Linked DNA regions of Anolis sagrei. The protein of the gene in region 2 interacts with the protein of the main gene of each other region in a biochemical or structural test. Links are inferred from orthologs where the notes say so. Each region holds a gene or a part of one and is shown on either strand. Other genes may lie near its edges.

What was found.
Region 1: the proteins of CTNNA1 (region 2) and JUP form a complex in vitro, tested with the Homo sapiens proteins (2 studies listed by BioGRID). The link is inferred for Anolis sagrei from reciprocal best matches to the Homo sapiens genes CTNNA1 and JUP.
Region 3: the proteins of CTNNA1 (region 2) and TJP2 form a complex in vitro, tested with the Homo sapiens proteins (2 studies listed by BioGRID and IntAct, with this or other methods). The link is inferred for Anolis sagrei from reciprocal best matches to the Homo sapiens genes CTNNA1 and TJP2.

What each region holds. Positions count from the first base shown.
Region 1 is NC_090026.1:38,502,069-38,509,387, reverse strand, and holds the start of JUP (junction plakoglobin), read left to right. Parts: upstream 1-4,310; 5' UTR 4,311-4,427; intron 4,428-7,319. UniProt on the Homo sapiens protein: Common junctional plaque protein. The membrane-associated plaques are architectural elements in an important strategic position to influence the arrangement and function of both the cytoskeleton and the cells within the tissue.
Region 2 is NC_090021.1:140,799,000-140,806,985, forward strand, and holds the start of CTNNA1 (catenin alpha-1), read right to left. Parts: upstream 3,101-7,986; 5' UTR 2,947-3,100; intron 1-2,946. UniProt on the Homo sapiens protein: Associates with the cytoplasmic domain of a variety of cadherins. The association of catenins to cadherins produces a complex which is linked to the actin filament network, and which seems to be of primary importance for cadherins cell-adhesion properties.
Region 3 is NC_090022.1:221,774,855-221,782,735, reverse strand, and holds the start of TJP2 (tight junction protein ZO-2), read right to left. Parts: upstream 3,092-7,881; 5' UTR 3,013-3,091; coding exon 2,843-3,012; intron 1-2,842. UniProt on the Homo sapiens protein: Plays a role in tight junctions and adherens junctions. Acts as a positive regulator of RANKL-induced osteoclast differentiation, potentially via mediating downstream transcriptional activity.

The DNA.
Region 1 (7,319 bases), on a different chromosome or scaffold from region 2:
CTTGAGAGACTAAGGAGCCTCTCAACAGGCTCCCAAGACTGCTGCAGGAAGAACCAGATCCTATGTAATATAGCATGAACCCAATCTCAATTCCAAAAGTGGTCTAGAAGGATCCTGTGATCATTAGCAACAGATCCTGCTGAGAGGTCTGGCAAGAAGCACCAACACAGCATCATTCTTCTCACCTAGAGTTTTAGCTGTCACGTATCGCATTTTCAGTTCCAAAAACTGACCTGGGGTTGGGCTGTGGCCACACATTAAAACCCCTTTCCCAAAAAGAGAAATAGAAACTGGCTGATATTTATGCAAAAGAAACAAAGTATAATTTGGGGATGCAACAAAGGTAGAAGTATTTGACATTCATAAGAGAGACCAGCCAAGGAAACCCACTGGATGATTTGGAAAAGTCATGATCTCTCAGCTTCAGATGAGGGCAAAGTGAAACCCTGAATACATGAAAAGCTGAATAAATCTTGCCATGGAAACCTGTGATAAGACCGCTTTAGGGTTGTCATAAATTGGAAATGACTTGAAGGCATACAACAAATGAGAGATGGAAAAGTAGATTGGGGTCATAGGAGAGTAAGAGGAAACTGGGAAAACAATGTAACTGGAGGGTTTTAGGCATAGATTGTAGGAAGGTAATATCTGAGGGGCACGGGACTGGTAATTGTTGTGGGTTTGTTATGTTAATTTGATAGTTTAATGTTCTCTCTTTCCTTCTCTGTTAGAAAAGTTCCTCTTAGAAGCAAGGTAGAATATAAGATTTTAAAAGAAATAAACCAATAAACAAAATAAATTAAAAAACAGGGAGACGCAAGAAAGAGATATGGAGGGCAAGATTCATCTTGAAAGTGTGGCATTGTAAGAAACAAAAAGGTTTTTAAAGAACTGGGGAATAAAGCATTGAGAGCAATACATGAAGGAAGAAAAGAGTGAAGAGAAATAATTATTGCAATAAATTGGAGGAACAGGTCAGAGGTCATCTTTCAAAGACAAAGCCGCAATCTATATGACTCTGACTATTCTGCTAGGGACCTAATATTGTCACTTGCAAATGCCAGGGATTCTAGCCACAGCCTTCAGTGTGATATATTCCAATTTTATTGCCAGTATTTCTTGTTCCATTTTATATTGGACAGACTGGAATAAATGGACACAAGCAGACATCAGAAACAATTATATATAATTCAAAATAATATTCACAACTCAGTGGGAGAAAACCTCAGAGTCCCATTACATTTGCCACTGTTATCAAGGTGGCTATCATTAAACAAAAGAACTTCAAAGAACTTCAAAGTACAAAAAGACCCCTCAAAGGGAGATTCCAAAAGAACAAGTATTCATCATGAGGTTCACCTCTATCACCTCTCATTTGATTAGAGACTCAGGCTTTTTATCTCCCTGCATGTGTTAATCTGCTCATCAAAGAAATGGTTTCTGTGTTACCACTTAAATACTGTTTGTTAATGGCAACTTTTAAGGTAATAATGATAACTGCTCATAATATATTTAAAATCCGTAATGCTAACTGCTGTTTGTTAATGGCTATTTTTCATCCCTATTATTTGCTAATGTACTTCTGCTTTTTAATTCCTTCCTATCCCACTGGTTACATCCCCTGTCCACCCGCTCGGTTGCCCACCTCAACATATATTTAATAATCTACCCACTGAGCCATTAATTCACTCATCTGATGAAGTGGGAGGCATGAAAACTTATGGCACATAAAATGTTTTCAAGCGCCATGAGACTTTTGTGGCTAAAAAGGGAGCGTGAAGGGGACATTTCATTTAGAAGCAGGAAGTTTGTGAAGTTGGGCTGAGAATTTTGATCACATGGGAATTTGGGGGGCTGTTTTAATGCCAGAAGGCTGCCCTTGACAAATGTATCCTTCTGGAATACAACACCCAGAACCCCCACCCAGCATACTTTGTTGAAAAAGTGGGGTATATCCTAAAGCAATGGTTCTCAACCTTATTTTGACCAGGGACCACTTTGACCAGAGACTATCCTCCAACATTAGTACCAAAAAGGTTACGAAATGGTTTTTTGGTCAACTTTAGATTCAGTTTGCTTATTTGGGGTGCTGATTCAAAAAACTGCATTGGATAGACCACATCAGCTCTGGTTTCTGATACAGAACATATGCCATCCAGTAGTCACCATCTGCTCACCCACAGAAAACCATATTTAATAATCTCTAGAGCTGATGTGGTAGTAGTAATATTTTGTGGATGGTCAGCCTTTCCCCTCCCAACATCCCCGTTGCCTCAGCACTATAAGATGGTTCTGCAAGACCAGTCACTCTTGTTGCTGAGTGGTTTCGAGGCAACGGAGTAGTAATGGTGAGGCCACGGACCATATTTTCATGCTTGCAGACCAGGGCCTCTCCAGATGATCTGACAAATCGTGTGGGCTCATATATGGAGATGCGGTCACGCAGGTAGGCGGGTCCCAAACTGTTTAGGGCTTTGTAGGTAAGCACCTGCACCTTGAATTGGGACTGGAAAATGAATGGCAGCCAATGGAGCTCCTTAAACAAGAGGGTTGACCTCTTTCTGTAAGGAGCACCAGTTAACCACCTGGCCGCCGCCCGTTGTACCAGTTGGAATTTCTGAGCCGTTTTCAAGGGCAGCCCCACATAGAGCGCATTGCAGTAGTTCAATCTGGAGGTGACCAAGGCATGGACCACCCTGGCCAGATCAGCCTTCATGAGGTCGCAGTTGGCGCATGAGTCTCAGTTGTGCAAAAGCCCTCCCGGCCACCGCCGACTCCTGAGCTTCAAGCGTAAGTGATGAATCCAAGAGGACACCCAAACTGCGGACCTGTGACTTCAGGGGGAGTGTAACCCTGTCCAGCACAGGTTGCCACCCTATACCCCGATCCAGTTTACGATCAACCCAGGCCCGTAGCCAGGATTTTGATCCGGGGGGGGGGGGGGGGCTGAGTTTGTTTTTTTGGGGGGGGCTGAGTCTGAGTGAAAGAGGGTCTACCCTAGCAAACCTTTTGTATTGTTACCCCAATACCCCCATGCATATGGGATATATTGAGCACGGTGATCAGATCATGATATGAATAAACATAACAGTTTAAATAATGCACCAGTAAGGCCTTTTCGCGAACCACCATGAGAATTTCAGGGGGGGGGGGCTGAAGCCCCTCAAGCCCCCCCCCCCCCCCCCCGGCTACATGCCTGACTCGACCAGGAGGACCTCTGTCTTGTCGGGATTGATCTTCAGCTTGTTCATCCTCATCCAGACAGCCACAGCAGCCAGGCACTCGTCCAGCACCCGAGGGGCTTCCTTGGAGTTAGGTGGAAAAGAGTAGTAGAGTTGTGCGTCATCTGCATAGAGCTGGCACCCAACTCCAAAACTCCGGATGACCTCTCCCAGTGGTTTCATGTAGATGTTAAAAAGCCATCTGTCAGGGGTGATTTGAATGCAATATTCCTGCTTCTTGGCAGGGGGTTGGACTGGATGGCCCATGAGGTCTCTTTCCAACTCTATGTTTCTATGATTCTTCTGCAGGCTAAACATGCCCAGCTCTTTAAGCTGCTCCTCATAGGGCTTGTTCTCCAGACCCTTGATCATTTTAGTCGCCCTCCTCTGGACACATTCCAGCTTGTCAATATCTCTCTTCAATTGTGGTGCCCAGAATTGGACACAGTATTCCAGGTGTGCTCTAATCAAGGCAGAACAGAGGGCTTTTAAACAGAGGCTGGATGGCCATCTGTCAGGGGTGATTTGAATGCAATATTCCTGCTTCTTGGCAGGGGGTTGGGCTGGATGGCCCACGAGGTCTCTTCCAACTCTTTGATTCTATGATTCTATAGGCCAAAATCCTATTGGCTTGTTTTTACAAGAAGCAATATGTGTGTTTGTGTCTACACATAAATATCACACAAACACACCAATATATACTGTTGTAATGATGTTATTCAATAAAAAATATCGTTTTAATATTTCAAAAATCGAAATGACTTCTTGCCTCAAACCTTCCCCTCACCATGCGCTTCTTCTTCTCCTCTCACCTCAAACCTCCTTCAAAACACTCCCGCCTCGCCCGACGGGGACGAAACCACGCCCCTTTTCGGCCTTGGCTCCGCCCACACCTGCCGGGCATTCCACTTTCCCAACCGTTCTTTCCAGGCTCCACCTCCTCCTGCACCCTCGTCCAATCAGAAGACCCGGGCTGTAAACACCCCAGCCGGGGCGAGGCGAAGTTGGGTGGGGGCGGTCTCGCGCGCCCCCTCCCCTCGCGGCCGAGGCAGCCAATCAGAGCTCCGAGGGGCGTGGCTTGTGTCCATGGGGACCGGGGCTGGGCTCGGCTCAGTCAGGGAAGGTCTCGGCTCGCCCCCATTGTTCGCGCGGAGCCAGTCGGAGCGGAGCCAGAGGCGAGCAGGGCGGTGGCGACGGGGCCGGCAGGTGGGTGCCAAGCGGGGGGCTTGGAAGGGGGGCAGCCCTCACGAAGGAGGGGGTCGTGAGGCTTTCCGAGGGGGGTTTCCTGTGGAGAAGGCAGCCCCTGAAGGAGGGGAACCCATTCCCTGTTTCCGGAAGTGGCCAGGACTGTCCCAGAGACAACAACAAGTAACACCTGGGGACCGGAAAGTGCTGCTCAAGGCATTCAGGGTCATAACCCCAAACTCTTCTCTTTTCTCTGCCTCAGCCTATAGGATGTGGAGACCCTATACAATAGGAACAAGAGCTCCTGGGGTCGAATTGGGCGTGGTGGGAGAAGGAAAGGAAGGAACAGAACCCTCAGTAGGAGTGGGTTAATGTTAGGGAAATGTCCAAAATAGTATTTTAAATACAAGACAGGATACTAAACTGAGTAGTCGACTCACAGCAAGCAGGAGGTGTAGTGTTGTGACTGTGAAACAGGCATGGGCAAACTTCGGCCCTCCAGGTGTTTTGGATTTCAACTCTCACAATTCCTAACAGCCGGTAGGCTGTTAGGAATTGTGGGAGTTGAAATCCAAAACACCTGGAGGGCCGAAGTTTGCCCGCCGGCTGTTATGAATTGTGGGAGTTGAAATCCAAAACACCTGGAGGGCCGAAGTTTGCCCATGCCTGCTGTAAAATATTTACTGAACCAAAGATGCAGACTTTCAATTCTTACAGTTTCAAAAAGTTTATTTAAAATATATTATTTATCTAAAACATTTATATTTCGCCCTTCTCACCCCAAAGGGGACTCAGGGCGGAGCACAGCATATATATATATATAAGGTGAACATTCAATGCCTAGACAAGGATTCATATACACATACATAAACATTAAAAAACATTTATCATAATATTAAAATTCACCATTTTAAACCGTCTTGGTCATCTGCGTCAAATCTAATCCACCTGGTAATTTTTCCTATTGCTACTTTATTGTCCTTTTTCGAACGCTTGGTCCCACAGCCAAGTTTTTACCATCTTTTTTTTTCAATATTTTTTTATTAAGTTATTATACATATGCCTAAAAGAGAAAGGTTTACAAGGAAAGTGGGAGAACATTTAGATATAGGATAGTAGGAAATTTTTAGAATCCGTATATATAAAAAAAAATATCAAAAAAATAGAGAAATAATAATACTACAAAATAAAAAGGTTTTGTTGACTTCCATTCTGTGTCTTCGCTTACAAATTTTTCAGTTTAAGTTTTCTCTTCATATGTTGTTAAGATCTTTCCTTTAGATGGTTTTCAAATAGTGACCAATTTGTATCCTTTATTGGTTTTCCCATGTTTTTCTTCAAAAAATAGGTTGATTTGTCTATGTCCTTAATCTCCTGTAGTTTGACTATCCAGTCTTCTGCCTCCGGAGTTTTGCCGATTTTCCAAATTCTTGCATAAGATATCCTTGCTGCCGTTGAGATATAAGTAAATAAAATATCAATATTTAAGTCTGAAGAGAATTCTGAGTCCATAATATATTTAATAAGTAATATTCTGATTTACTTGGGAATTGTATTCCCAGTATTTTTTTTTGTGTCTCTTGGTTAATATTTTTCCAGTAATTTTGAGCTTTCTTACACAACCACCACATATGAAAAAAGCTGCCCTCTGCCTCGTGACATTTCCAACATTTCTTGTCCATATTTTTATACATTGATCCTAATTTTTTGGGTGTAATGTACCATTGATGGAACATCTTAAGCCAATTTTCTTTTAAGTCCATTGCATAGTTCAACAGTGGAACTCTCTGCCTCAGGGTATGGTGGAAGCTACTTTCTTGGAAATTTTTAAACAGAGCCCAGATGACCATCTATCAGGGATACTGATTGTGCTTTTCCTGCATGGCAGGGGGTTGGGCTAGATGGTCTATGTGGTCTCTTCCAACTCTATTACTCTGTGATTTCTTGATAGAAAATATTGGGCCTAATTTTCTCTCTTCCATTCTTCTTTATTTTTATTTATTAAAATAAGCATAAAATGTAATTTTTTGTTGCATACAGTGATAATATTGAGACATCTATTATATTTTCAAGCTGCTAAGTGTTCGTTAGCATTTCTAACACATTATCTATAATTAAGGACTCTCTGGCATCTGTTTGAGTAGGACAGGTAAGAGAGTCAGAGATTCTAAGTTAATATCAGTTTTCTCTTTGCTTGCAGCCTTATAGGATCCTCTGTGGATATTTCTACAACCAGCTTAGCTTTATTTTATTGTTGAGTTGCTGGATTGCCAGCTCCCATTCTTTAATGACTTACACTATATAAATCCTTTTGGTTTCTAGACCATTGCTACATCAAACTATATTTTCACATCTGAAAACCTATTGTTTTTAGTTATCACGCAACTGTTTGTGTAGAAAAGGTTCGGTCTAAGCTTCTCTCTAACCCTATTACTTCTAAGATTCAAACAAAATGGAAAAAATTCTAAATACTACATTTTCTCAATCATGCAGAGTAGAGAGGGTTCTGAACGAAAGGGTGAAAAAGAAGTGTGACCCGAGGCCTTAAAATGAGAGGACATGCATCCTAAAGAACTGCCATTCTATTTCATCAATTAGAATGGGGGAGAGAGAAAGCGAGCGAGAGAAAAACAGATGCATCAACAGCCTAGCCTAAGTTATCTAGTTGCTTCTCATTGAGGACTGCAGACTTGAGCAGTGTGTGGTTGAATTCCAACAGCTAAAGAGTAGACAACCTTACAATACGTCTGGAGGAAGTGAGGGGGCATTTCTTCTGGGAGAGAATTTTGACATCCCTCGTTGGGTTAAAGAGCTAATAGCTCCTTGCCCTTTAATCAAAGGTCTCAAGTCTTTGCAGTTTGGGGGTTTCCCTTGTCAGGGTAAATTACAATGATGAACAGAAGGGCTTGCATT
Region 2 (7,986 bases):
AAAGAAGGAACCTCCGCCACACTCCAAGGCAGAGAGTTCCACTGCTGAATAGTTCTCACAGTCAGGAAATTCTTCCTAATGTTCAGATGGAATCTCCTTTCTTGTAGTTTGTACATTTTTTTTAAAAAAAAACTGACTTTTTCAAATAACCCAAATAAATAAAAATGTAATGTTCGTTTGTGGGATTAACATAACTCGAAAACCACTGGACGATTGACACCAAATTTGGACACAATACACCTATCAGGCCAACAAGTGACCATCACTCATAAAAACACAGTGGAAGCAACTTAAAAGGCCAAAAAATGCATTACAACGCATGCACAAAACCACATATACACAGACTGGGCCACAGCAATGCATGGCATGGGATGGCTAGTAAATCTATATAAATAAAAATGTAATGTTTGTTTGTGGGATTAACAGAACTCAAAAACCACTGGGCGAATTGACACCAAATTTGGACACAAGACACCTAAGAACCCAATGTATGTCCTTTATTTAAAAAAATTGATTTTGTCATTTGGGAGTTGTAGTTGCTGGGATTTATAGTTCACCTACAATCAAAGAGCATTCTGAACCCCACCAACGATGGAATTGAACCAAACGTGGCACACAGTTCTCCCATGACCAACAGAAAATACTGGAAGGGTTTGGTGGGCAGTGTCCTTTGGTTTTGGAATAGTAGTTCACCTACATCCAGAGGACACTGTGGGCTCAAACAATGATGGATATGGACCAAACTTGGCATGAATACTCAGTATGCCTAAATGTAAATACTGGTGAAGTTTGGTGATAATAGACTTGACATTTGGGAGTTGCAGGGATTGATAGTTCCGTATTGTTCATAATGCGGCAGCCAGGTTACTCACAAGAACGCCCATGAAATGCCATATAACACCAGTGCTGCAACATTTACATTGGCTTCCAACTGAGTACCGTGCCCTGTATAAGATGTTAGTTCTGACCTTTAAAATTCTTTATGGCCAGGGTCCATCGTACCTTAGGGACCATCTCTCATTCTCCCATCGTCGGAGGTCGCAACGACCATCCCAACGTGACTTACTTTATATACCGGGTCCTAGAGAAGTGCACCTGGAAAGGACCAGACGCAGAGCTTTTTCTATTTCTGCCCCTGCCTTGTGGAATTCCTTGCCGCCCTATATGAGAGCCATTCGTGAGTTAGGGCCTTTTACCCTAGCACTTAAGACTTGGCTTTTTACTAGAGCTTTTGATCTATGTTAATTTTATCAATATCTGTATGTATGTATTTTTATCCTTTACAATTTTAGTTTGTAAATCGCCTAGAGCATCTTGGATGGAGGGCGATTAATAAGTAATTAAATGATGATGATGATGATGATAGTTCACCTACAATCACAGAGCATTCTGAACCCCACCAATGATAGAATTGGGCCAAACCTCCCACACAGAACCCCCATGTAGGCCACAGCAATGCGTGGCAGGGGACAGCTAGTAATAATAATCTATATATATATATATATATATATATAAATGCTCTGTGCATAATGAGTTCCTTAAAAACAAAATAACCAATGAACGAAATCACACCAAATTTGGCAACAAAATGTCTCACAACACAAGGAGTGACCATCACTCAAAAATTATGATTTTGTCATTTGGGAGTTGTAGTTGCTGGAATTTATAGTTTACTTACAATCAAAGAGCATTCTGCACTCCACCAATGATGGAATTGAACCAAATGTGGCACACAGGACTCCCATGACCAGCACAAAACACCAGAAAGATTTGGTGGCCATTGACATTTCATTCATTGATTCTTTTGGGGGGTTTTTGAGTTTGGGACTTGTAGTCCACCTACACCCTGAGAGCACTGTGGACTCAAACAATGATGGATCTGGACCAAACTTGGCACGAATATTCCATATGCCCAAATATGAACTCAGATGGAGTTTGAGGGAAAGAGACCTTGACATTTGGAAGTTGTAGTTACTGGGATTTATAGTTCCCTTACAATCAAAGAGCATTCTGAACCCCACCAACGACAGAATTGGAGGAAACTTCCCACACAGAAGCCCCATGACCAATAGTAAATACTTAAGGCCATCCAATCCAACTCCCTTCATCAGGGCAAGAAAACGTAATCCTGACAAAGAGCCATCCAGCCATAAATATAGATAGATAGATAGATATGATTCTCACACACAATATCATAGATTTGAAAGGGACCCTTAAAGAAGGACAGTGATATGTTGCATGGTCCAGAGTAGGAAAATCAGACAATCTCCACATCAACACTGACAAAGAAACAGCAAGAAATACTGATTATCAAGCAGAAATAAATTACATATATTAGAAACCAACACTTTCTCATTACTTTATTTTCCAGATCAACAGACTGGGCCACAGCAACGCGTGGCAGGGGACAGCTAGTAATAATAATAGCATTTTCCCCTTTCCATTGAAGTTTACACACTCTTGGGCCAACTTGGTGCGCCAGCGCACACAATGAAGGCCCACGCCCAGCTGAAAGTTTGTTTTCAACGTGAGGAGGAGTCAGCATTGTTCCCCCTTTGGAGAGGGAGGCCTTCCCAAAGAAAGAGAAGTTGGAGTGAGAGTTCTGTCAAGGAGGAAAGAATGGAGGGAGGCTATGGAGAAGCTTCCAACAACCAGAACTAACTCTTGGCGGAAGTGAGGCTGGGCCCTTCCTCCCTCTTCCCCTCCCCCCCCTTGCGCTCAAATCCCTGGAATGAGGCCTCCGCCCAGAGGACGGCGGAGAGGCCTCAAACGTCGCGCCCCTTTGGCCTCCTTCCCTTTGAGGGGGATAATAATACTAAGCAGGCAAGAGGCCTCTCCTCTCTCCTTCTCTCCCTCTGAGTCCCAGCAGCGACGCTCCCAAAGTTTGACGGTGGAGGAAACCAGGCCCGAAATGGGAAAAGTTCGCCTCCTGAAGGGGAAAGTTACCTGCTGTTCCTGTTGCTCGTCCTCCCCCCTCTGCTCTCGCTCTCCCGTCTCGCGCCTGGCTTCTGCGGCTGTTCCGTCTTCCGCCCCGCCGCGCCCTGTCCGGCCAAAGAAGCCGAGGAAGCCGCGCTCTTCCGGGCACCTCCCCCCGCTCTCTTTCCCAACCCCCCGCTCTTCCCGGCACCGCCCTCCGCCCGCTCCAGCTGCTCTTCCCCAGCGCCGCCCTCCCGGAGGCTCTTCCCAGCAGCGCCCGCCCCACCCCGCTGTCGAAGTTTAGTGCCAGCCCGCCCCGTGCTTTACTTTCCCCGCTGACTTCTCTGAAATGGTTCTTTACCCTTTCCTCCTCCACTCCCAAACGTCTGCTTTTTTCCTTTTTTTCCCCGAAGGGGGTCGGTGTTGGAATGTAGGACAGGGAGGGAAACCGAGTGGGGAGGAGCGGCGATTGCTGTAACAGCCAAAGAAAGGGAGGGGGGAATGGAGGGAGTGAATCAGGGAGAGAGTTTCAGGTGAAGGAGTTGACTGCGCATGCGTGGCTCAAGGGCCGAAAGCGCCTCAGGTGGCTTTTCTGAGAGGAAGAAACTTCCTCAGAGGCAGAGGAAATGTTTGCCATATAAGGCTGGACTCTCCTCGATATGTAGGACAACATATCCCTCCCATTTCCTCATGGAAGGGCCTCCATTTCAGGAAAGGAACGAGAACCTCTCAATAAAAGTTTGCTCCAGGCACAGTCAGCCCATTGTATGCTAATCAAGGTGGTCAGTTGAAACATTCACACCTAGCTCCAGCAGACAAGAGTCCTTTGTCCCACCCTGGTCATTCCACAGATATATAAACCCTTTTTCCTAGTTCCAACAGACCTCGCTAGCTCTGAGGATGCTTGCCATAGATGCAGGCAAAACGTCAGGAGAGAATGCCTCTAGACCATGGCCATATAGCCCGAAAAAAAATACAACAACCCAGAAACGAGAAACATGGCCCTCCCTCACTGGCATCTCAGTCAAAGCTTCTCATGGCTGTTGGTGTATTGAACTAATATTCACCTCTATTTTCTGAAGAAAGGATTCAAGGCAACCAACCAACAGCCAGGCTAAAACTTGACATTCATATACAATCGAGCACAACGCGATCACCGGCAGAGCCAGAAGAAAATATTGTATTACCAGAACTTGCCAGGCAGGATGCGTCTGCACTGTACAATTAATGCGGATTGGTTCCTCTCTAGCTGCCTAGCTCAGTGCAATGGAATCCTGGGATTGGTCATTTGCAGAGGCAACAGCTCTCATGGCAGAGAAGCCTTAGAATCCTATAATTGGAAGAGACTTCGTGGGCCATCCAGTCCAACCCTCCTCCAAGAAGCAAGAAAATTGCATTCAAAGCACCCCCGACAGATGGCCATCCAGCCTCTGTTTAAAAGCTTCCAAAGAAGGAGCCTCCACCACACTCCGGGGCAGAGAGTTCCACTGCTGAACGGCTCTCACAGTCTGAAAGTTCTTCCTAATGTTCAAATGGGATCTCCTTTCCTGTAGTTTGAAGCCATTGTTCCGCATCCTAATCTCCAGGGCAGCAGAAAACAGGCTTGCTCCCTCCTCCCTATGACTTCCTCTCACATACTTAAACATGGCTATCATGTCTCCTCTCAGCCTTCGATTCTGCAGGCTAAACATGGCCAGCTCCTTAAGCTGCTCTTCATAGGGCTTGTTCTCCAGACCCTTGATCATTTTAGTTGCCCCCCTCTGGACACATTCCAGCTTGTCAATATCTCTCTTGGATTGTGGTGCCCAGAATTGGACACAATATTCCAGGTGTGGTCTAACCAAGGCAGAATAGAGTGGTAGCATGACTTCCCTAGATCTAGACTCTAGACTATTGATGGAGGCCAAAATCCCACTGGCTTTTTTTGTCGCCTTGCGAAACTGCAACTCCCACATTCCTCTAGCATTGAGCCATGGCACTTCAAGCAGTGTCAAACTGTGTTAGTTCATGAGTGCAGACGCAGCCTATAATTTTTGAACTAAGACGACAGCCAAATTCAGGGTTATCTGGTATGATGGCACTATACATTGATGATGATGATACATTTTATATCTCAATAATATTAATATGTATGGGACCCCTGGTGGCGCAGGGGATTAAACCACTGAGCTGCTGAACTTGCTGACCAAAAGGTAGACGTTTCGAATCTGGGGAGCGGGGTGAGTCCCACTGTTAGCCCCAGCTTCTGCCAACCTAGCAGTTCAAAAACATGCAAGTGTGAGTAGATCAATAGATACCATTTCTATGGGAAGGTAACGGTGCTCCATGCAGGCCACATGACCTTGGAGGCCTCTATGGGCAACGCCAGCTCTAGCTTAGAAATGGAGATGAGTACCAATCTCCAGTGTCGGACACGACTAGACTTAATGTCAGAGGAAACCTTTCTCTTTCCCTTTTATGCTATTGTATGTTATGAGATTTGAACCTTCAAAGATTTTGGTATCCACAGGGGATTTCCGGCTGTGTATAACTCTCATCATCCTCAGAGCCACCTTGTGAGGGATCTTGAACTGAGAGAGTGACAAATTTGGGGTTATCCGGTATGATGGCACTATATATATCGATGATGATGACAAATTTTATATCTCAATAATATTATGTATGTATGTTGTATGTATATATATATGTCCCATCTCGTTATGTCTAGAGGTGGGGCACAACATATTAAATACATAATAATACTAAAATGCATTCCATAAAAAGCATGCATTATAACATATTTCTATAAAATACACATATTAAAATATATGGAACAGAAATTAAAACACAATAAACAGAATGTGAATTTAAAAGTAAGGCTTACACAGACATTCTTCGAGTTACAAACATTCAACTATTAAGCAACTCCTAGTTAAGAATGGGAGCGAGACTACAGGAAATGAGAGAAACCCGCTCCTTGGAAGGGAAATTCACTCTTAAAAGAGTTATGTGGAAAAGGTGTCTGCACTGAAGCCATGTCACCAATCCTTGTTTCCATGACAAGCCATATTTTTCAAAATCCAGTTGTCACACAGGGGCAAAAAGTGAGGTGAAGTCTTCTGAACAGGGGCACAGGGGTGTTAACCCTTCCCTATGCTATCCAAAGCTAAAATATAAATATTTTTGTCTGGAGTTATACTTAAACATGTACCTGTTCCGACTTACAAATGAATTCAACTTGAAAACAAACCTACCGAACTTATCTTGTTCATAACTTGGGAACTGCCTGTATCTTGATCTCTCAACACTCCTTACTCCTTCTCCCAATGTTTTATAAAATATTCTTTTATATGTTTGGTGTAAATATTGGGGCCAGGTGAGCCTAATGTGGGACAGCATTCTATAATGGTGACGTCAGACCTCGAAAGATCCACTCGCCGTATCTCTATATTAGGAGGACATAGGTAAGTGCTTCCAACATGGATTTAGGACCTTCTCACACAAGGGCCCCCCTTTAGTACAGCTGGCCCTTGGTATTTATGGATTTTGCATCCACGGATTCCATGATTCATAGCTTGAAAATATTTCAATAAAAAATTAAGAAAAGCAAACCTTTGCCATTTTATACGAGGGACACCATTTTACCATATCATTGTATGTCATAGAATCATAAAGAGTTGGAAAATATCACAAAGGGATTGTCCCTGTCATATCTGAACAGTTGGTATGTAGTAATCTTATTTCAGCATAGGAGATGTGACATTATCCTCTACTGAGTGCAACAGGACTAGCTTAGAGGGTGCATAGCAGGCCGCTCCAACTCACAGCTCCATCTGTCACCTTTTCTGCTGACCACTCCGATTAACTTGTCAATGCAACAGCAAGTGGAGGAGTTTGTCAGCCTGGCCTGTCTTTCTCTCTGCTTGTGTAGTCAGACAGGGGTCTTTTTGAACAGTGCTACCCAAGAGACTTAAGCAGCAAAGACAAGAAACAAGTGAGTATCACATCCATATCCAGTGGGGCTTGATATTACCAACTTTCGTCAAATAGATCTGGGAACCCTCCAAACCAGATAGTCATCTAGATCTTGCAGACTGGATGCCATGGCTTTCTTGAATGGAATGCAATCTTTCACTTTTCTTTTCTCACTGCCTGTTGGATTCCCAAACATTGCACATCCCCCCAACCCCCCCCCCCCCAAACCCTGGTGTCTTGGGTTTTAGGCCTGTTCCTGGGGTTATTTGGAGCGCTGATTCACACCTTTGCATTGGATAGACTGCATCAGCTCAAGTTTCTTACAACTTCATCAGACGGATTGATTTGCCTGTCGTTGGTGGCTTGACCTCCCTTTATGGTACAGAGCCTTTCACAAGATGTAAAGAGACTTCCGGCTGGGCTCCATGCCAAAAAGGTAGAGGAAGCAACATTGGCTACCACTGCGGCAACAAGGAAGTCCTGTATTGCCTTTCCTTTAATGGGGGGAAGTCGGGCAGTGATGCTCCCCCCTCCAACAATGGGATGAGGGAAAAGGTAAGGAAAGCAATCCAGGGTGTGGAGCGGTGGCTTCTCCAGACCCCCCAACTGGAGCCAGCCCATGGATTCCCCCTGATGGAGGATGAATCTATGGGCCTGTATGATAAGGTCATCACATATGGTTATCATGATTTCCTGTCTGGAATATGGCATGTGTTCTGTGTCCCAAAAAATAGAGTTGATAGGGGAAAGCTGATGCGATTTTTGAAATCATCAGGTCAAATATACCCAGAAACAGGTCTAACATTTGACACCCAAAATATGTGTTGGCCAGTGTTTATGTGTTCTCTAGAGTCATGTCTTACAATAAATCCAAGGTACAACAATAAAAAATTAGTCATCATGTGCTCACTTTCATCACTTGAATAACCTATTTCCCCCAGTATTTTCTGAATATTCCCTCCACCACACATTATGGCCACAATTTCTATACAGAATACTGTGTTGATCCATATCAACAATAAACAATTTCTTGTTGTATGCCTTTTAAGTTGTTTCTGATTTCTGGTGGCACTAAAGCAACCTATCTTGACAAGATTTGTTCAGAAGAGGTTTGCC
Region 3 (7,881 bases), on a different chromosome or scaffold from region 2:
GTTGAAATCATAAGAGACTAGAAATCAGAAAGCTGCCAGATAATATTGTCACCAATTTCATCAATTCTTGTCAAAAGAATTTCATCCCCCAAATCTGGAGACAATATCCAAAGGAGAGTAAGTTATCCACTGGATTCCCTACCATGTAAGTTACATAAACCAAGACTGAGCTGCTGCTCCCAAAAATCCTGCCTGATTCTAACATTACTACCATCCTATGGATGGACAAAAATATATATAAAGCCAGATTTTTTAAACATCTAAACCATTATAACTGTTGCTTAAGAATTTGTATCACATTTTTTTTAGTTGAGTCTGACAACACAATAAATTATTTCCATTAACTTTACTTTGCTCTTCCCTAACAATGAATGAAGTGTTGTTTACTTGACATTTACAACAAAAATACTGAAATCTCTATGTCAATATTTTCTAATATTCTACAAAATGATTTCAGCATTGAGGCTGCGGTGGAGCAACAGGTTAAACTGCCGAGCTGCTGAACTTACTGACTGGAAGGTTGCGGTTCGAATCCTCAGGATGGGGCGACCTCCCATTGTTAGACCCAGTTTCTTCTAGCCTAGCACTTAGAAAACGTGCAAATGTGAGTAGATCAATAGGTACCACCTCCGCAGGAAGGTAAACAGTGCTCCATGCAGTCATGCCAGCCACATGACCTAGGAGGTATCTATGGACAATGCCTCCTAGGCTTAGAAATGAAGATGAGCATCACTCACCCCCCCCCCCCCCCCCAGAGCTGGGAGGGGAAGCCTTTACCTTTATCTGTGTTTCTTTGTCATGTTTCTATGCATTGAATGTTTGCCTTTGTGTTTGTGTATGCTGGAATCCACCCTGAGTGCCCTTGGGGACATAGGGCGGAATACAAATAAGTCGTTGTTGTTGTTGTTGTTGTTAGAATTAGCATTAGCATTAAGAATTTATGCTGTGCAGTATGGTACCAGTTATATTTGGATATTTTTTAAGCTGACAAATAAATGTTGCTTTGGGAAAATGTTAAGGGTTTAAATCTCTTGGGAAAATACAAAAAACTTTATCAATTGGCGGAGAAATCAAACACAGATTAATGTACCGTAGTATCTGCAGTGCAACTGCTGTGATGGTGAGCCATATGGACCACTTCAGATTTGTTTTCTACAATCTGCTAGTATATGCTATTGCTGCAGCAAAAGCTATCCAGAGCTTAATCCACACTGCTTTGAATTGCAACTAAAAAAGATAAGGTTTTCTAATTATACACTTCCGCAGCATGAGTGTCTATGGTGAAGCTGCAGTTAACAACTGAATCAGAAAAGGGGAGCGGACTGTGATTTGGGGATCCCAAACTATGGGAGGAAAACTTGCAGTCCACCCCCACCTTCAAATAAACTGATTTTATTTGTACAGTGCCTAGCACTTTAGACACTTAATATAATGGGCTATGATACAAAGCACTACATATCCATGCTTAGAGATAGGCTTTCCAGCTCATAATTCTCCAGATAAGATATTACCCCTAAAGCTCTGTTAAATTTGTGGCTCCGGGGACATGAGACCTAAAGGAACATGAACAAAAACACATGCTATAGGTACATGCAAGCAATAGAAGTACTGTAAATTATTATTCATCATTATTTTATTTATACCCCACTTTGCCCCAGGCTCAAGAAGCAAGATGGATTATAGGAATTCAAATGTATAAAGATAAAAGCTCACATCACACTTATACAGACAACCTGGGTTCATTTTAACTGAGCATCGCAGAAGAGAAACAACACCTTGCTTCAGTTTTGAGTATATCCTTGTTCTGCAGTAAATTGCTTTTTAAAAATCCATGCCTTTAATCATCTAGGCCATCAAGATTTGCTTTAATGAGTACATATATATCTTTATTTGGTTTCTGTGAGTTTTCTGGGATATATGGCCATGTTCCAGAAGCATTCTCTCCTGACCTTTTGCCCTTATCTATGGCAGGCATCCTCAGAAGTTGTGAGGTCTGTTGGAAACTAGGCAAGTATCTGTATTGTTTAATTTATGCTACAGTGACTTGCCATTCTGAAGCACACAGAAATGCAGCATTTCTTAGAAAAGATACTGTAATGAAGAAAGTAAGCTTTTTGGTCAAGCTGGCTCTCAGGCCACAGCAGCTATTGCTGAGTTGGATCTAAACAATTTGCATCATTCTGCGTCTGCTCAGTGATCATAAATATTTTTCAATGGCAGTCAGACTTCCCATTCATTCCTAATAACATGATTCTAGACTGCCGATGTGTAACATATGTGCATTGTATTCCCACCTCCATCACAGAAACTGGAAGGGAAGGAGACACTGGCTGTAAAGACATTAATGGAGCATTGAAGCATTTTTGCTGTGTATGTGTGTAATGCAAAAAATATAATAGGCTTTTTGTAAGGGGTGGGAGGACCCTAAGCCAATTCAAATTACTTTTATTCAGCAATGTGAGCATCTTTCCAGATTCTAGCCCCATCATTAAATGTGCGAGCATCAGAAAAAAGTAATCAAGGAGCAATCCGTTACATTCCTACTTGATCTGCCCTTGCTCCAAGTCTGCATGGGCTTATCTACTAAGTTCCTTGTTTTTAAAAAGTTTACACAGAGGCTTAAAAGCTATTACTGACAATTCCTCCCATTTATCCCAGCCACCCATTTGCCAGCCAAGAACACCACAAATACACACCAGCAAGAAAACTACGTGCAGTTCCTGCAGCTTCCCAATTAACCATTTCTCCCATTTGCAGGCAATGCCCACAGCTCCCTTGCACACGGTTTCACAGAGTCAATATTTGTTTTTACAATTATTCATTTACCCAATGTGTGACTTACCCTGGATGCTGCCAAAGATTTGCATGTCGAACCACAGGTAACAATTCCCTCTTATTGAGAGGGGTGATCCCAATTGCAGCTTCAAGAATGGTGATGTACTTCTTGTACTTCATCCTGCCTCTTTCAATGCACCGCTGAAAAAAGCTACCACCTGCTTCTGGATGCAGCATTGGAAAGCATCTGGCCCCAGCAACCTGACTGAACTACAGTGCTGTTTTTCAAAATGTGTAACACACATTGCAAGCTGGGAGTTATAAAAATAACTTTTGGGAAAAGAGTTATAAAAAAAACCCCAAACAGATTCCTGACAGATTCCCCTGAAACGTCATGGTTACATAATTCCAGCGATCTTTGAATAAAGCACTAATGAAAATGAGTCAAGAGACAATCAAGGTCTAAGCCCGCCTGATAATGTACACTCTCCAATTTACTAATCCTTTGCTAAATCTCCAAGGCTTATAATCTTCCAAGTACTAATGGAGTAGCAGGTGACTCGTCTCTCAAATCAAGTAAAGGGCTGCTAAAGATTTGTTCGCTAAACTTTATATAGTGCAGAATGCAAAACATCCTATTTTCTCAATTTTTGGGAGCCGCACTGATCATATCATAAAAATCAATAATAAAGGGAGAACAAAAGGAAGCAATACGTAAAAAAGAAAAACACAAACTTTGCAGGGACAGGAAAACTGAGACCTACATTGATCTGGACATAATTGAGAGAAACAATTTCATTCATTTGTAGTGGACCTTGTAAATACGAATAGATACTCTCTTGCTTGGCCATAATAAAAGGTAACTGTTTCCTTTAACATTAAGTCTAGTTGTGTCCAACTGGGAGGTGGTGCTCATCTCTATCTGGCATTGTCCATAGGCACCTCCAAGGTCGTGCGGCTAGCATGACTACGTGGAGTGCTGTTACCTTCCCACAGAAGTGGTACCTATTGATCTATTCACATTTGGATGTTTTTGAACTGCTAGAATGACAGAAGCTGGGACTAACAGAGGGAGCTCACCCCACTCCCCAGATTTGAACTGACAATAATAATAATAATAATAATAATCTGTATTTGTATCCTGCCACCATCTCCCCAAACGGGGACTCGGAGCGGCTCACATGAGGCCAAGCCCAAGCAACAAATTACAATAAAACAATAAAGTACAAAGCATATAAATACAATAACCAATATACACAAAACATAAAGCAATAAACAACATAATGACAGTAAAAATGGTTTAAAAACTCAGGGTGAGATAAAAGGGGCAGATTATTTGCATAGGGGAACTCATAGAGACACAGTGTAATAAACATACCTTTGTACAAGGGGGGGGGGTACTCTTAGGTCAAAATGTTGAGGGGGGCAATAGCTAAAGCTTGTGTGGCTACTCTCCAAAAGCGCAGCGGCACAGCCAGGTCTTGAGATTCTTTTTAAAGGTTTCTAAGGTAGGGGCTTTCCTAAGCTCACCGGGCAGTGAGTTCCAGAGTCAGGGAGCCACAGAGGAGAAGGCTCTTCTCCTTGTACCCTCAAGGTAAGCCTAAGAAACTGGCAAGGGTGAAAGGAGGGCATCCCCCGAAGATTGAAGAGCTTGATCTGGTTCATGGAGAGAGATACGGTCACGATGGTAGGTGGGTCCCAAACCGTTTAGGGCTTTATAGGTAAGAACCTGCACCTTGAATTGAGACCAGAAAATGAATGGCAGCCAATGAAGCTCCTTAAACAGGTGGGTTGACCACTCCCTGTAAGTTGCCCCAGTTATTAATTTGGCTGCCAAGCATTGGACAAGTTGTAATTTCTGGGCTGTCTTCAAGGGTAGCCCCACATAGAGTGCATTGCAGTAATCCAGTCTAGAGGCAACTAAGGCATGGACCACCATGGTCAAGTCAGAGGTAGAGGGTGTGACCTAAGCCCGGTGACCAGAGAGCGGATCAATAGATCTACAAACACCTTTCTAAAAATGATGCCCAGTGTTTTATCAAGTGAGAACAGCTCCTCCGCTAGCAGTCTGTCTTCCAATGAGATGAGAAGACATGTAGAATGGTCCCAGGATAAAGCCAGTCAATGGTTTTGATTTTCACTTCTGACCGGCTTACAGATAGAATTTGGGATAGAGAGATCTGGACCGCTCTCTTTGATGTCCATTTGCCTCCGTTCCATAATGAGTCTGAAATTTCCCCAGCCAAGTTATTAGTCCTCAGCAGATGTTGACAATGGTGTGGAGTGTCCAAAGTTTGTTCAACAGACTCAGTTGTGAACTTATTTTCTATGTTGTGCAAGACAAAGTTTGTCTGATCCGTCCTCCCCCCTTCCTCTAAAAGCCTCAATTCCTGACCTATTATCTACTTTCTGCCCCTCAAACCTATTTCTCTCCTGGCCTTTCGTTGCAGCTACATCCTCAACAAAATTTGTCAACACAGCGGGTTCAGCAGCTCAGCAGTTTAATCTGCTGCACCACCAGGGGACAATAATAGGCAAGAAAATATCTGGTTATTCCACTCACAAAAAGAACCAGCACATATAAAGACGTTTTGTGGACTAACAATATTATTTATTTGCTTTGCTGTAAGCTCAGGGTCAGCTCTACAATTAGGCAAAGTGAATATGCCAGCTCAGGAAACAGATTTAAGATATCACAACAGCCCTCAAAATATGTAATTATTAATGTATATCTTCTGTTGGAGGCAGGGAGATATGTTTTTGCACCACATGTACCAAACAATATGGTAGGCATTATGACTTGGGTTAATCAAGAGGTACTGTATGATGTTTTGCCTAAAGTCAGCCTTGTAGTGAGTGGAAAACATTACACCCTCCACATCAAGCACCAATAAGGTCCCCTCAAACTATTTGAATGCATATACACTGTAGAATGAATGCAGTTTGACACCACTTTAACTGCTATGGTTCACTGCTGTTGTATTCTGGTGAGGCACTACTACTCTTTGGCAGCAAAGACTAAAGACCTTGTACAACTACAACTCCCATGATTCCATCACATTGAGCCATAATTATTAAGGTATTACCAAATTGCATTCATTCTACAGTATAGATGCACCTAACATTCTGTGGATCTATTATTTTAATTCAGTAACACTTCCTATGGTAGATGGGGAGTTGATATGGGTTTGTGGGCCGCATTTTCTCTACCTTTTATTTATAACAGAGGAGCCCCCGGTGTCGCAATGGGCTAAATCCTTGTGCCGGCAGGACTGATAACTGGCAGGTCAGCAGTTCAAATCAAGGGAGAATGGGTTGAGCTCCCTCTGTCAGCTCTGGCTCCTCATGGAGGGACAGAAGAGAATCCTCCCACAAGGATGGTAAAACATCCGGGCGTCCCATGGGCAACGTCCTTGCAGATGGCCATTTCTCACACATCAGAAGCAACTTGCAGTTTCTCAAGTAACTCCTGGCATGAAAAAAATTACATCAGAGATGGGTAGCTGTGTTCCCCAAGTATGTTTGGCCATAATTCTCACGAGCAATAAACAGCATAGTTAATAATGAGAAATTGGGGGACATGAAGTCCAGAAACATCTGTAGAACCTCATCTATAGCTATCCTTAATGCCAAAGAGGCCCATGTAGTAGAATCAGTGTTCTATATATTTTGTATTTATTAACAAATACTTTTCCCTGTTGTAGACTAAATTACTCCCAAACCCATATTGTACAATTAAAGTGTTCAAAATGGGTGAAAATCAGCTGGTAATAAGAAGGGGAGAAATGCTGACAGGGAAGTGCATGACAAAAACAAAAGCAATTAGTTCTGGAATTTACTCATATTTTCTGTTAATCTTGTGAAGAATTTGCAGGTTTCTTTTAATCTTTGTGATCTGCTCAAGACATTGGACAACATTTGTCACACTGGATTATTCACAACATCATTAAGAAAGAAGAGAGAGAATATGCAACAATGTTCCTTTCCTTCAACCCCAGATATATTGTTCAAAACTTTTCTTGTGCCCGTATTCAGCCCATGGGTTTGCCAACCAGTAGGGTGTTTCCATAGGTTTCATATGCCCCACAGACTCTCATTATGACTTGAAGCATGATTCTTGTACACAATCTAGTCGCCTGTCTAACTGGCAAAATTAAAAAAGAACTACAAGTGAGTTCCTTTTTTCAGTATTGCAACGTTATTTCATTGTTGATAAAATGAACACAGGGAAGCAGAAATTATTCTCTTATCTTCCATTTACCTTCAAAATACTGCGAGACAAATTAGGTTCAGGTCAAGAGAATAGCGTAAGTGCATCAGGAGGGTTTTAACTGTCTCCCCATTTTTCATGTCCTAACTTTTCCCAACCTCTTGTCCTTCAAATGTGTTGATGTATAAATCAACTTATATACAGCAGATTATATATTCTGCAGGGTGGGAAAATTGTAACCCATAAGTCACATTTGTCCCTAAGGCAAATTTGAGATCTTCAGCTCCCCCAAATATGTTGCTGAGATTTATTCTACCACATTTCTCTACCAACCAAAGCTCAGGAGATGCATGTTTTCAAGGCTGTTTTCAGTTTACATCTTGGTTGTAAAATGGTCTCTGTTGGACCCCAAGCAACTCAGCTAGACCCCCAAATGGGATAAAACCAGTACAGCACACTACCTTTCAGTGTATCATCTCCCTGTTATTGTTCACCTAATGATGCAAGCCTTGTGAATCAGCTCTACAGTGAATTAAGTGTCTTCAAATTACCTTTGGGTTTATTGTGACCCAATTAATTTCACAGGGTTTGCTTATGTAAGGAATACATGGAGGTGTTTTGCCATTGCCTTCCTCCAGATATTTCAAGGGGGTTTTTTTTATGCCAAGAGACCCATGGCTCTAGGGCTCTCTCCACCTCATTACATGTAGAACATGCATGTCTGGCTCATGCCCACATCAGTCCTCGCTTCCAGGGCCAGACCTTGCATTTGGCTGAACTAGCCAGCTGGTTTAAGCATCATATTTTTAATGCCACAGGAGGGCAACAACCTGTTAATCCCTGAATTTATTTTCGTGATTTTTTTCATAGAGTGAATTGTCAAATGTTCCGCTTCA